Linked DNA regions of Ovis aries. The protein of the gene in region 1 interacts with the protein of each later gene in a biochemical or structural test. Links are inferred from orthologs where the notes say so. Each region holds a gene or a part of one and is shown in the gene's direction. Other genes may lie near its edges.

What was found.
Region 2: the proteins of CDK9 (region 1) and CCNT2 form a complex in vitro, tested with the Homo sapiens proteins (4 studies listed by BioGRID, with this or other methods). The link is inferred for Ovis aries from reciprocal best matches to the Homo sapiens genes CDK9 and CCNT2.

Annotation. Positions count from the first base shown.
Region 1 is NC_056056.1:8,429,418-8,436,561, reverse strand, and holds the start of CDK9 (cyclin-dependent kinase 9), read left to right. Parts: upstream 1-2,956; 5' UTR 2,957-3,099; coding exon 3,100-3,191; intron 3,192-3,671; coding exon 3,672-3,753; intron 3,754-4,550; coding exon 4,551-4,641; intron 4,642-4,994; coding exon 4,995-5,161; intron 5,162-5,275; coding exon 5,276-5,447; intron 5,448-5,610; coding exon 5,611-5,759; intron 5,760-6,503; coding exon 6,504-6,869; 3' UTR 6,870-7,144. UniProt on the Homo sapiens protein: Protein kinase involved in the regulation of transcription.
Region 2 is NC_056055.1:175,805,118-175,811,621, reverse strand, and holds part of CCNT2 (cyclin-T2), read left to right. Parts: intron 1-517; coding exon 518-681; intron 682-3,901; coding exon 3,902-3,972; intron 3,973-4,448; coding exon 4,449-5,876; 3' UTR 5,877-6,504. UniProt on the Homo sapiens protein: Regulatory subunit of the cyclin-dependent kinase pair (CDK9/cyclin T) complex, also called positive transcription elongation factor B (P-TEFB), which is proposed to facilitate the transition from abortive to production elongation by phosphorylating the CTD (carboxy-terminal domain) of the large subunit of RNA polymerase II (RNAP II).

The DNA of each region.
Region 1 (7,144 bases):
CAGCTGGCGATGCTGTGCCATGACTGTGCCCTTGCTCCACCCTCAGCCCAGGTGGGCAGAGTCCTGACATGGGTAACCGCTTGGGGTTGGCACCAGACTTTGGCTGCTGTTGGCTTTACATATCAGTGTGGCAACTGGCCAGGTATTTGACCCTGGCCAATGATGTCACCGTCCATGGGATTCTCCAGGCAAGAATACTGAAGAATACTGGGTTTGCCATTTCCTTCTCCAGGAGATAAGCTGGTTAGATAGTATCACGGACTCAGTGGACATGAATTTGAGCAAACTCCAGGAGATACTGGAGGACAGAGGAGCCTGGTGGGCTTCAGTCCATGGGGTCACAAAGAGTCAGACATGACTTAGCAACTGAACAACAACAATAAGTGACGTCACCTCTGAGTTCCAGTGTTCTTCTAAGTACAACAGAGGTAATAATAGTATAATATTGCTGAGTGAGAATTGAGATAATTCCCATAAAGTGCTAAGTGTACAGCTTGGACCATTTATTTTCACTCCATAAACTATAATTACTACAGTTATTATTATTTTCTCACTCTCTGCTCTCCCCACCCCCAATTTAGCCAATGGTCACCCTGCTTCTAATATTGTACCCAAGAAACTGACCCCAGATCACTCCCTGACCTGCCCCAAACCCTCGCTGGTCCACACTGCCTTCAGGAGAGGGCTCTCTGCTCCTCACCTGATCCTGAAGACCTTCCCGGGCAGTCCCCCTGCTTCCCAGCAGAACAGGGTCTCTTGGGACACCAGGATTACCAGACCCATTCCTGACTCCTAATGTGAGCTAAGAGCTGGAGAGCAACCCAGGAACCTTCCTGGCAGAAGAGAAGGCAGTGGTGCAACCAGAGAGCATAGCCCTGAAGGCAAGGGGCCCTGGCGTGTAGGAAGCAGTGTGGCCACAGCCTAGGTTCGGTTCAGTTCAGTTCAGCTCAATCGTCAGTCAGGTCCAACTCTGCGACCCCATGAATCGCAGCACGCCAGGCCTCCCTGTCCATCACCATCTCCCGGAGTTCATTCAGACTCACGTCCATCGAGTCGGTGATGCCATCCAGCCATCTCATCCTCTGTCATCCCCTTCTCCTCCTGCCCCCAATCCCTCCCAGCATCAGTCTTTTCCAATGAGTCAACTCTTCCATGAGGTGGCCAAAGTACTGGAGTTTCAGCTTTAGCATCATTCCTTCCAAAGAAATCCCAGGGCTGATCTCCTTCGAGCCTCAAATGTCACAGTTTGGTTTTTCCTGATGACAGTGGAGAGAAAGACATACAGACATCACTTCAGAATGATCTGATGGGTGCTGGCAGGGGGACAGATGGAGGGGACAGACTGGGGAGGACAGGTCTTAAGATCCATTGGTGGAGGACTGGGGTGGGGGGTGCAAATTGAAGAGGGGTGGAGAGGAGGTCTGAAGGCAGCCTTGTTGAGGGCTGGGTGTCAAAGGCTGGAAGGAGATACAGGAGGCTCCTGGAGCCAGAATGTATCAGAAAGCTGCTGGGGAAGAAGCGCCAGGGTAGGAGAAGCAGGCATAGGATCAAAGGAGATGGTGGACGGTGGTGGGCTTGGTACCCTGGCATAACAACAGCAGGCCTCAAACAGCACCACTTGCTATACTGCTGGACAGACTGTAAATAGCCGGAGTCAAGAGAATCCTCTTCGGATTCAGACAGACAAGGTTCAAGTCCCAGCTTTATTACTGTGAGACCTTGAGCAAATGACCTCACCTCTCCGAGCCTCAATGTGCTCTTCTGTAAAATTGGTTAGTGATCCTGACTATGGGCGGTGGATTCAGGATTCAGTAGGAATGCCCAGCACTTCCAGAGCACACAAGAGGGGCCGACGAAATGCCGGCTACCTTTGTGACTACTAACCCGGGGCGCGACCAGTTAGGGAGCAGCTCGGCAGGAACCAAAGTCCTGTGGGTCTCATCTCTTGTCTCCCAGAGAACTGGGTGGGGATCCAGGAGTGGAAGGCCCAGGCGTTGCTGGCTCACCACCTTCAATGTCGCCGCGCCCCCTGGCGGCTATCGGTTGCCATATCAACGGCGGGTCGGCGGGGGCCCGGGGAGGCGGCGGTCGGGGCCCGTTCTCCCTTCCCCGGACCCGAGGCCGCTCTCTCGGCACCTCTAGTCCTCGCCTGCGTAGAGTGGGGTGTGAGAGCGGGTGGGGAAATCCCGAGCCGGGGAGGAAGGGACTCCCCGCTGCGGCTGGCATGTGCGGGTAAACTGAGGCACGCGGTAAGTCGCGCCCCGAAGCCAGGTGTTGAGCGCGGGGCCCCACCTCCGAAGGCGGAGGAGGGGCCGCGGGCGGTGACGCGCCGAGGGCGGCGGGCGGGCGGGAGGCAGGCGGCGGCGGCGGCAGGTGCGGCCGCTGAGGGTGGAAGGGAGGAGGGAGGGGGCGGGCGGAGGGGGAGGGGAGGGCGAGGCCTGGGCACCTCCCCCTTTATAACGCGCCCCCTCCCGGGCTCTCGGGCCGCCTCCTCATCGGCTGTTTCCGTCTGGCCCCCTCGCCCGGCCGCCCCGGGCCCGGGCCCGGCCAGGGAGCCCCCAGGCCGCGGCTCGGGGGGCCGCCCCCCCACCCCCCCTGCGCCCGGCGCCCAGCGCAGCCCGGCGGAGGCGGCGCCGTCGGAGGAGGAGGAGGAGCAGGGCACTGCGGCTGGCCCCGGATCGGGCGCCAGAGCGGCAGCGGCTTCGGCAGCGGCGGCGGCGGCGGCCCGAGCCGATGCAGCGGGACGCACCACCTCGAGCCCCAGCCCCGGCGCCCCGGCTCCCCGCGCCCCCGATCGGGGCCACCGCCGGCGCCGGCGGCGGCGGAGGCGGGGGCAGCGGCGGTGGCGGAGGCGCCTCTGCAGCTTCGGCTCCTCCTGGCCTCCCGGGAACTACAAGTCCCAGGGGGCCTGGCGGCGGGCGGCGGGCGGAAGAGGCGGGGTCGGCGCCTCGAGGCCGGAAGTGGCCGTGGAGGCGGAAGTGGCGCGGCCGCGGAGGGGCCTGGAGCACGGCGGCGGGACCCGGAGCGGGAGCGGCGGCGGCAGCAGCGGCGGCGGCGGTGGTGGCTGGAGGCGGCGGCGGCGGCGCACTGGAGTCAGCCATGGCAAAGCAGTACGACTCGGTGGAGTGCCCTTTTTGTGATGAGGTGACCAAATATGAGAAGCTCGCTAAAATCGGCCAAGGCACCTTCGGGTAAGGCTGGGCCCCCCCTCAACCCCCAGGGACCGGGAGCCTCCTGAACCTGCACCCCTCCGGGCCGACGTCGGGACGCCCAGACCCGGGCCCGGTTGGTCGGGAAGCCACTTAGACGCAAACTTATCCCCTGGTCTCGCTAGGCCGCACCGCAACCCCGCCGGGGCCTGAAGGAGTCGGCCGGCTGGGAGGAGCCTGAGGCCCTTAATGGGGGGGCAGGGAGGGGTTGCAGAGAGGAGCCTGTGAGTGGTGCGGGATCTCTCTGCGAGACGCCCGAGTGAGGCGCAAGGAGCAGAGGGAAGAAGGCTGAGACTCGAGAAGGGACCAGAGTCACCGCGTGGTGGGGTAGCCGAGTGCCGTGAGGGACCCGGCCCAGCCCCGCCCGGGATTCCCTTTCCGGGCCTCCTCTGGTGGGGGAGGGGCGGGCTCTGCGGAAACGTCCTCTAAGAGCCCTCTTGGGTCTCCCCTCTCCGCCTGCAGGGAGGTGTTTAAGGCAAAGCACCGCAAGACCGGCCAAAAGGTGGCCCTGAAGAAGGTACTGATGGAGAACGAGAAAGAGGGGGTGAGTATGGGGTGGGGTGGGCAGGTCTCCCAGCTCCTTTGGGCGTGAGGTTGCGTTTCCACCTTTCTGGTTTGGGGACTCTCAACGTAATAGATTCAGATTAGGTGTTTGGAAATTTCCATATTCCAGGAAGTTTGACTTCCCAGTTCAGTCTTTGAATTCAGATGTCTTAGAGCTTTTGATACTTCATTCTTGGGTGAATATGGTTGGTGCCAGGCGGGGGAGCCCATGCTTGTACCCAGTGCCCCTAGGTTTTTGAAGTTAGGAAGTCGTTAAAGACTTTTTCTTTAGGGTTTAATTTTGTTGAACGCAAAAAAGATATATATATGATAATGATAATTACATGCAATGGCTTTGAAAAGGTGATTGGTATTCAGCTGAAAAGCAACAGTCTCTCCTGCCACACACGTGTGTTAGTTCTGGTTCAGCTTTCCAGAGACCAGCTTCTTTAATTATATATTTGTTAACTGCCAAGCAGGTTAAATGCAGGCATAGGGCTAAAATTTATAAGGGTGAAGAAACTGCGGAGCGTCTGATGACTGGTAACAGAACCTTTGTGTGAAGTGTCACTGTTTCGGATCATTCATTGAATTATTTTGATTCATTCATTCAGTTCTTTATGAGGCGTACATAGTTACTCCCGTTTTACATATGTGACATCTGAGACAGCTAATTCCAGAGCCTGTGCATTTACTGTCTCCCAGCCTATGACCCTTCGCGTGGACCCCATGGTCAGTTCCTGGGTCTGTAGTGTGCTCACCCACTTTTGACTTCCTCCTGTCTTTTCTCCCACCCAGTTCCCCATTACAGCATTGCGGGAGATCAAGATCCTCCAGCTTCTAAAACACGAGAATGTGGTCAACTTGATTGAGATCTGTCGAACCAAAGGTAAGTTGTTTGGATCATGTTCCCATTTTCAGATGGAAAAACTGAGGCTTTGTTTGCGGAGTTGACACTGGACACATTTACACTGCCTCTTCTTAACCCAGACATTCCAACTGTGACTGCTTTCTCTGGTCTTTTCATCGGAGCAGGTGCTTCCCCAGGGCCTGCCACAGCACCCAGCCCAGAGAAGGCACTCAGAAAATGTTTTACCTGTGAAGGAATTTGTACCCGGATATTCGGGGTGGCCATGGGTTGGAGGGGTTGGGAGCTAGTTTGGAGGAAATGAGTTACATGTAAGGTTTCTGATTTTTTTTTTAATGCCTCCCCCTCTCTCCTCCTCATTCTTCCTGCCTCAGCTTCCCCCTATAACCGCTGCAAAGGCAGTATATACCTGGTGTTTGACTTCTGCGAGCATGATCTTGCTGGGCTACTGAGCAACGTCTTAGTCAAGTTCACACTATCTGAGATCAAGAGGGTCATGCAGATGTTGCTTAACGGCCTCTACTACATCCACAGGAACAAGGTGGGGGCCCTAGTTGGGGAGGAGAGAGCAGGGCTTGGGCTGGCCTTTGCGCTCACAGCGGGGTGGGCATGGCTAAGGGATCCCTGGGAACCCTCCGCCTTGTGCTTCCTGCAGATCCTGCACCGGGACATGAAGGCGGCTAACGTGCTCATCACCCGCGATGGGGTTCTGAAGCTGGCGGACTTTGGGTTGGCCCGGGCCTTCAGCCTGGCCAAGAACAGCCAGCCCAACCGCTACACCAACCGTGTGGTGACCCTCTGGTACCGGCCCCCAGAGCTGTTGCTCGGTGAGGACTCTCCCGAGCTGGCAGAGGGGAGCAGGGGCTGGGCACTCAGCTCAGTCTCAGCACCCCAACTGCCAGGGCTTCTTGAGCCATCGGCCCCAGGGGCGTGGCCTTTCAGGAGGCCATGGGGCTCAGGGGGCCCTCCCTGGTGTGCTCTTGTTCCCAGGGGAGCGGGACTACGGCCCCCCCATTGATCTGTGGGGTGCTGGGTGCATCATGGCGGAGATGTGGACCCGCAGCCCCATCATGCAGGGCAACACGGAGCAGCACCAGCTCGCCCTCATCAGCCAGCTCTGCGGCTCCATCACCCCCGAGGTGCGTCGCAGCCTGCCTCCTGGGGGCCCCCCAAAGGCCACACACCTTCGAGAGGGGTGGGGGAGGCTCCCTGGCAGGGGAGGAGGGGCACACGGAACAGAGGCAAAACCCTGACCTGGACAGGCGGCTGGTGGAGGCTTACAGTCTGCTGTTAGCCATGGCGACGTCAGGTCTGGGCTGCGTCCCTGGTTCCTGGGGTTTTCCGGCAAGGTGTCTTGAGCACCTCACCTCAGGGCTGATCTCTGCCGTGAGACATCTGTGGTTCTGTCACACTTGGCACACATCTCCCAGGCGATTCACACCAAAGGGCCTGGTATTCAGTGCCTGTGTCCCATCTGTGGTTACTGCTGCTTTGGCCGCAGAGGGCTCTGGGGTGGTCTGGAAGCATCTGAGCAAGTTGTACGTGTTTACTTAGTTATTTTTGGCTGCTCTGGATCTTCACTGCTGAGCCTGGGCTTTCCCTAGTTGCAGTGCGGGGGGCTTACCTTGCTCCAGAGCACTGGCGTTAGACCCGGGCTTCAGTCGTTGTGGCACACGGGCTTAGTTGCTTCATGGCATGTGGAATCTTGCCAGACCAAGGATTGAACCCGTGTCCCCTGCATTGGTAGGCAGTTCTTAACCATCGGATCACCAGGGATGTCCTGAACGGAGACGTATCCAGTCACTACATACTTGACCAGTGGATCAGTCACATACCCTGCTGAACTAGTCTTCCCCTCTTTCCATGCCTCCCCCCTACCCCAGGTGTGGCCAAATGTGGACAAGTACGAGCTGTTTGAGAAAGTGGAGCTGGTCAAGGGCCAGAAGCGGAAGGTGAAGGACAGGCTGAAGGCCTACGTGCGAGACCCCTACGCGCTGGACCTCATCGACAAGCTGCTGGTGCTGGACCCCGCCCAGCGCATCGACAGTGACGACGCCCTCAACCACGACTTCTTCTGGTCCGACCCCATGCCCTCGGACCTCAAGGGCATGCTCTCCACCCACCTGACATCCATGTTCGAGTACCTGGCACCTCCACGCCGGAAGGGCAGCCAGATCACCCAGCAGTCAACCAACCAGAGCCGGAATCCTGCCACCACCAACCAGACGGAGTTTGAGCGCGTCTTCTGAGGGCTGGCTGCTATTGCTTCTCGTTAGGGCCGTGGTTTTGGTTTTTTTTCTTCTGCTCTGTGACTTGCAGCGTGGAGATTATGGGGCATGTGAGTTTTTCCTCTAGCGCATATCTTATTTAATCCGCACCCTGGGCGTCGGGCACCAACCGAGCAGACTGGAGTAAAACTTTGGTGGAGAGTCCAGGAAGGCACCTGAGCTGCCCACCTTGTTCCCTGGCTTTGGCAGTGACGCTCAGAGGGCCTCCCTTTACCTTAGGGCAGGACTGGGGTGGG
Region 2 (6,504 bases), on another chromosome or scaffold:
GGTAGAATCCCTGATTATAATTATAATGTGGTATTGAAATTACCTTGTCAGTTGTACAGTTTTCTGCTTTTTTCTTTATTCTACCATGACATTACAAAAGAAACAAAAATACCACCAAAAAAAGTTTTAAGTCATTTTACTTATATATAATAATTACTGGAAATGTACTGTCTTCCTCTACTTTTATAAAGAAATAGTTGTAATTTAGATGTAAAAACAAAGTTTAGAAATACTGATATATTAGTATTAGTAGTATTAATAATATACTCTGGGAAGTAAGAGTATGAAAACATTGATAATCTATATGGGTTTTTAGTGTTTGAGTTTTTGTGACCATAGTCATAAAAAGTATCATAATGTTAGCTTTTAATTTTATAAAATAAGGTTTTGTACTCTAGACATAAAAAAGAAAACTTAAATAATTTTATTTTTCCTCTAATCTTATTGGTAAATGTTTTTCTTTGTTTTACATATTTGAATTTCTATGACTCTTCGTTCCAAATCTGCTCTACAACAGTCTGCATCTTACAACCTTCTGTCTTCAGTATAAACCAACAGTGATAGCATGTGTATGCATTCATTTGGCTTGCAAATGGTCCAATTGGGAGATTCCTGTGTCAACTGATGGAAAACATTGGTGGGAATATGTGGATCCTACAGTTACTCTGGAATTACTAGATGGTAAGTAGAGAAAATCTTTTTGTTACAACAGAATATTTTCTTACTTTTTATCATAGATTAAACATTCTGTCTGCTTCTGTATAGGTTTTAAAAAATATTGAGTTCCCATATATTCATGGTCAGTTGAACAGTTTTGGCCAGTCTAGGATCCTCCTTCACCCTGTAGTTACTTGATGCCAATCCCAGGTATCATTTCATCTACTGGTATTTCCTCTTTTGAAAAGATAAAAAATCTTTTAAAACAGTTCTGTTTCAACAAGTTGGCAATAGGATTTAAAAGTACAATTACATGATCACATGAAGAGGATGAGAATAAATTGATTAGCCTAAAGGGGGAAAAATGAACATATTATTAACCACTATTCAATATCTGAAACCCTTTCATGACTTTTCAAAGAAATATCATTTAATATAATGCTGCAGGTTGATAATACAAGCATACATAATTTTAAAGTATACTAATTTTGTCGGGTTTAAAATGTATAAACACAAAGCATGTATTAACTTACTGTAGAAGATGTGAAGCAGTAAGCTAATGATATTTTCATGGTAATATTCCTTGTTCTGTTGTTCTGCTGGTGATAAAGTGTGTCATTGTTGCCGTGCATTAATAAGTATGAATTGACAAGGAAAAATTGGGAGTATAAGTTCTATAAATTATGAATCTGGCATTTAGGGGTCTCCTGAAAGGAAATTTTTCTGGCAGGCCAGAGGTAGAATATCTTGCAGATTAAGACATTTTAACCAGGAAGTATAGATTACAGAAAGGAAATAGATAACACTTCTTAGATCTAAACTGATACGTTAGGTTTTCAGCTTCTTTTTGTGTGCTTTCCCCAGCTTCCTTTACAAAATTGAAACTGATGAGAAAACTGGATTTATAGGACATCTGTTAAGTAAAAGTGAGAGACCCCTAAGGCTTTGGAAATTGGTTTTCCATTAATATCTCAGATGCTTCTTTAAGGTAGAAATTTATTTAAGGGTCTGCACCCTTTTCTGTGAAGGGCCAAGTAGTAACTGTTTTAGGGTTTGTGGGCTATACTGTCTGTGCAACAAGACAACTCTGCCACCAGAGCTAGAAAGCAACCACAGGCAACTATAAGTATATAGCTGTGTTCTAGTAAATCTATTTGCAAAAACAGGATACAGGTCATATTTGGCTCACTAGTGATAGTTTAAAGTTTACTCAGAGTAGTAGGAAATCTTCAGCGAGTTGAAATATAACATCTTCTAAAAACTAATGGGAACTTTTTATTTTCCCATTTGTGACTTGAAATTATCTGTGCCACCATCTTATTTTAGCAGTCAACAGGTAAGATAAAATAGTTGTCTTATCTATTGATAGATATGATAAGATACAAATAAGATAAAAACTTAATAGAAATAGTTTCTATACATGTCTCTAAAATAAAGTTTATAGAAAGCAAGTAATCTGCCTTTTATCCTGCTCTTAAATTGTAGGTAAAGTCTTTTTTGACACAACACGAGCCATCTAAATATGTCTTTGCTTCTATTCTGAAAAAGCTCAAGTTCATATTCATTTGAACATTGAATAGGAATCTTGGACACTTAACACATTGAAAATTTCAACATATTATGTAGCAGCCTTTTCTCTATTTTGATTACATTAAAAAGTAACAAAATTTCAGATGTTAACAGTATCTGAATTTTACATTTAATGACTGTCACCAGAACAGCATTGATTGTGTTTGGCCTACCTGTAAGAGGGTTGTGGCCGGGCGGTTATTGATTAATAACAAACCCTCATGTGTTTTTTATAATGTGAATTTTTCTGAAGCTGAATCAGAATGATTTATTGTTAATTTTGGACCCAGGGGGATTGTGTATCTGCTAGATTTACTACTATGTCCAAGTAGAAAAGTGGTCTTTTTTTTTTTAATGAAGAAGTGGTAGTATAGGCATTAGATCTTTTTTTCATCTAAACTGAATCAAAAAGCTCCTGAGACTTTAGCAGGAACTACTTATCACAGATTATGAGCACATAATGATGCCAAATTTTTATCAGTCTCTTTATACTAAATTGGCATTAATAATATTACATGACATTCTCATTTGATATTATTAATACTTGTGTTGAGAGTGGCCAGTAACTTTATTAATAACACTATTTTTCTATGGAGTTGAAAACTAGAATTCATCTTAACCATACCACTTTGGAAAAGTGAATCATCTCTTATTTCATTATAATTCTAAATTTAAGAAGAAAAATTGTAGAAATGTGACCAGGGTGGTTTACTGAAATGTTAATACTGTGTTGATCGCTAGGAAGTTACAAGTATAGGTAAAGAAATTTTTTCATTTTAACTTTGAAATGGTTTTAAATTTAAAGAAACTGTGAAATGGTACAAAGTCTGTGCTGTTATACCCTGTACCCAGTTTCTCTAATATTAGCATCTTACGTAATAATAACATCTAAGATCCCATGTTCCATTTAGTTGCCATGCCCCCCTTTAATCTCTTCCAATCTGTGATAATTTTTCAATCTTTTCTTTCATGTCCTTAACACTTTGAAGAATAATTGTCAGTTATTTTATAAAATGTTCCTCAATTAGAGTTTGTCTGATGTTTTCCCATTGTTAAATTGAGGTTTTACATTTTGGGCAAGAATACCACAGAAATGAGTTGTCCTACTCAGTGCATTTCATCAAGGTATATCAAGTTGATATGTTTTATTACTGGTAATGCTAGTCATGATCACTTGGTTAGGGTCGTAAAGTTACTAATTTTCTCTTTGTAATTAATATCTTGATTATACAAATATTCTCTTTTTTCCTTGAACTTTCGGGCACTGATTGTAAAGAATCTAACGATGGACCTTCCCCACCACGATTATTCCTGATGTTTGCCTGATAGCAGTTTTCTGTTTGGGAGCAATTTTTTAAATGTGACTAAATTTTTCAGAGATTCTAAGTAAGCATTTAAAATCAGGGAGATGTGGGAGATGGGGTTTTTGTTTGATTATTTTTTGTTTGTTTGTTTGTTTTGTTTTGTTTTTTTTAATCAAAAAATTTTTTTTTAAGATTCTTCTTTGAAAATACCAGTTCAAAGCTGTGTGTACTTCTGTATGTGCTAATGGTTGAATTAGGAAGGTGGTCATGAAGTAGATGAACTCTTGTGCTTTCTTTTTAATATTGCCCACTTGAGAGAATTCTAAATCTAAAGGCACCTTCTAAGTTTTAAATTTAAATTTTATTTTTAGAGCTAACACATGAGTTTCTACAAATATTGGAGAAAACGCCTAGTAGGTTGAAGAAGATTCGATACTGGAGGGTAAGAGAATTGACAGGGTTTATCAGAACATCAATTTGCTAATTTGAATTTTTATGGTTAAATATTCTTATTTCTAATATTTGAAGTAATTACAGTGTATCATAAGCTACATGCGCTCATAATTTATCCAACTACTGTGTCCAGTATACTTTGCTATAAATATGGATTTCTTATTCTCATAGTGATTACTGTGGAAATAGTATCCTCACGTTACAAGAAGGGGAATTAAAGCTAGACAAGTTAAATTCCTCTCTCAGATGCTGGGCTGGAATTTATTCAGTATTTAGTTTAAAGCCAATGCTTTCACTATATATAGTCTTATTTTATGGCTCTAAATAAGATGTTTGTTTACTGGCAATAAAGTCCAACCCCAGGTGATTTTATTTTCATATATTTAATATAGAATTTTTATAAGCAAAGAAATTTATATTAAATTCCTTTGCTGTCATTGTTTCTTTTGTGTTTTATTTAAATAGGCTAACCAGGCAGCTGGGAAACCAAAAGTAGATGGACAAGTATCAGAAACGCCTCTTCTGGGTTCATCTTTGGTCCAGAATTCCATGTTAGTAGATAGTGTTACTGGTGTGCCTACCAAACCAAGTTTTCAGAAACCATCTACATCAGCTTTCCCTGCACCAGTACCTCTAAATTCAGGAAATATTTCTGTTCAAGACAGCCATGCATCTGATAATTTGTCAATGCTAGCAACAGGAATGCCAAGTACCTCATATGGTTTGTCATCACACCAAGAATGGCCTCAGCATCAAGAGTCGGCAAGGACAGAACAGATATATTCACAGAAACAGGAAACATCTTTGTCTGGTAGCCAGTACAACATCAACTTCAAGCAGGGGCCTTCTGCATCATTGCATTCAGGATTACATCACAGACCTGACAAAATTTCTGATCACTCTTCTGTTAAGCAAGATTATACTCATAAAGCAGGGAGCAGTAAACACCACGGGCCAATTTCTGCTACTCCTGGAGTAATTCCTCAGAAAATGTCTTTAGATAAATATAGAGAAAAACGTAAGCTAGAAAGCCTTGATCTGGATGCAAGGGATCATTATATAGCTGCCCAGGTAGAACAGCAACACAAACATGTACAGTCTCAGGCAGCCAGCAGCAGTTCTGTGACTTCTCCCATTAAAATGAAAATTCCCATTACAAATGCTGAAAAACCTGAAAAATACATGGCAGAGAAGAAGGAAAAGAGTGGATCACTGAAATTACGGATTCCAATACCACCCACTGATAAAAGTGTCAGTAAAGAAGAACTGAAAATGAAAATAAAAGTTTCTTCATCAGAAAGACACAGCTCTTCTGATGAAGGCAGTGGGAAGAGCAAGCATTCCAGCCCACATATTAGCAGGGACCATAAGGAGAAGCACAAGGAGCATCCTTCCAACCGCCACCACCCCAGCAGTCACAAGCATTCCCACTCATACAGTGGCAGCAGCAGTGGTGGCAGTAAACACAGTGCTGACGGAATACCGCCCACTGTTCTGAGGAGTCCTGTTGGCCTGAGCAGTGATGGCATTTCCTCTAGTTCCAGCTCTTCAAGGAAGAAGCTGCATATCAATGATGCATCTCACAACCATCACTCCAAAATGAGCAAAAGTTCCAAAAGTTCAGGTAGTTCATCTAGTTCTTCCTCCTCTGTTAAGCAGTATATATCCTCTCACAACTCTGTTTTTAACCATCCCTTACCCCCCCCTCCCCCTGTCACATACCAGGTGGGCTACGGACATCTCAGCACCCTCGTGAAACTGGACAAGAAGCCAGTGGAGACCAACGGTCCTGATGTCAATCACGAGTACAGTACAAACAGCCAGCATATGGACTACAAAGACACATTCGACATGCTGGACTCGCTGTTAAGTGCCCAAGGAATGAACATGTAATCATTTCTTTAGGTCAATTTTTCCTTTTCTTTTTTAATTTAAAAATTGTTAGAATGAAAAACTTCCTCCTGATCTAGCAGTGGTAACACCTGCTGTTACTACCACTGCTTCAATATTTGTAAGTGCTGCTTTATTCTTCATTCTGAAAAGAAGAGATTATAGTAAACAAGTCTTTATCTCCACATATGATAGTGTTATAAATACTGTAAAAGCATGGAAGGTGCAAAACTCAGTATTTCTACAATTGCAGCTAAGAACATTAGGGTGAATGGCTGGCTGCTTCTAGGAATATAAGATGCCTCAAGCATTCGTTTATTTATAATTTGAATACTGTAGCTATTTTTTGTTGTTGCTTGGCTTTTGAATGAGTGTAAATTGTTTTCTTTTGTGTATTTATACTTGTATGTATGATTTGCATGTTTCACTGATAAAGGGATAAAACAGTATACTGACAACTGTTTACAAGAAGGTGGAGAAAAATGTACATACATTTTTGTATGTTTAGATATTACCATAAATACTCAGGATTGGAGCTGCTTGTAAGTATAACAATATACAGAATAACTTTATTTTATCTTGTCAGAGTCCATCACTAATCTAAAACAAAGGTGGCACTTTTTCATGTTAA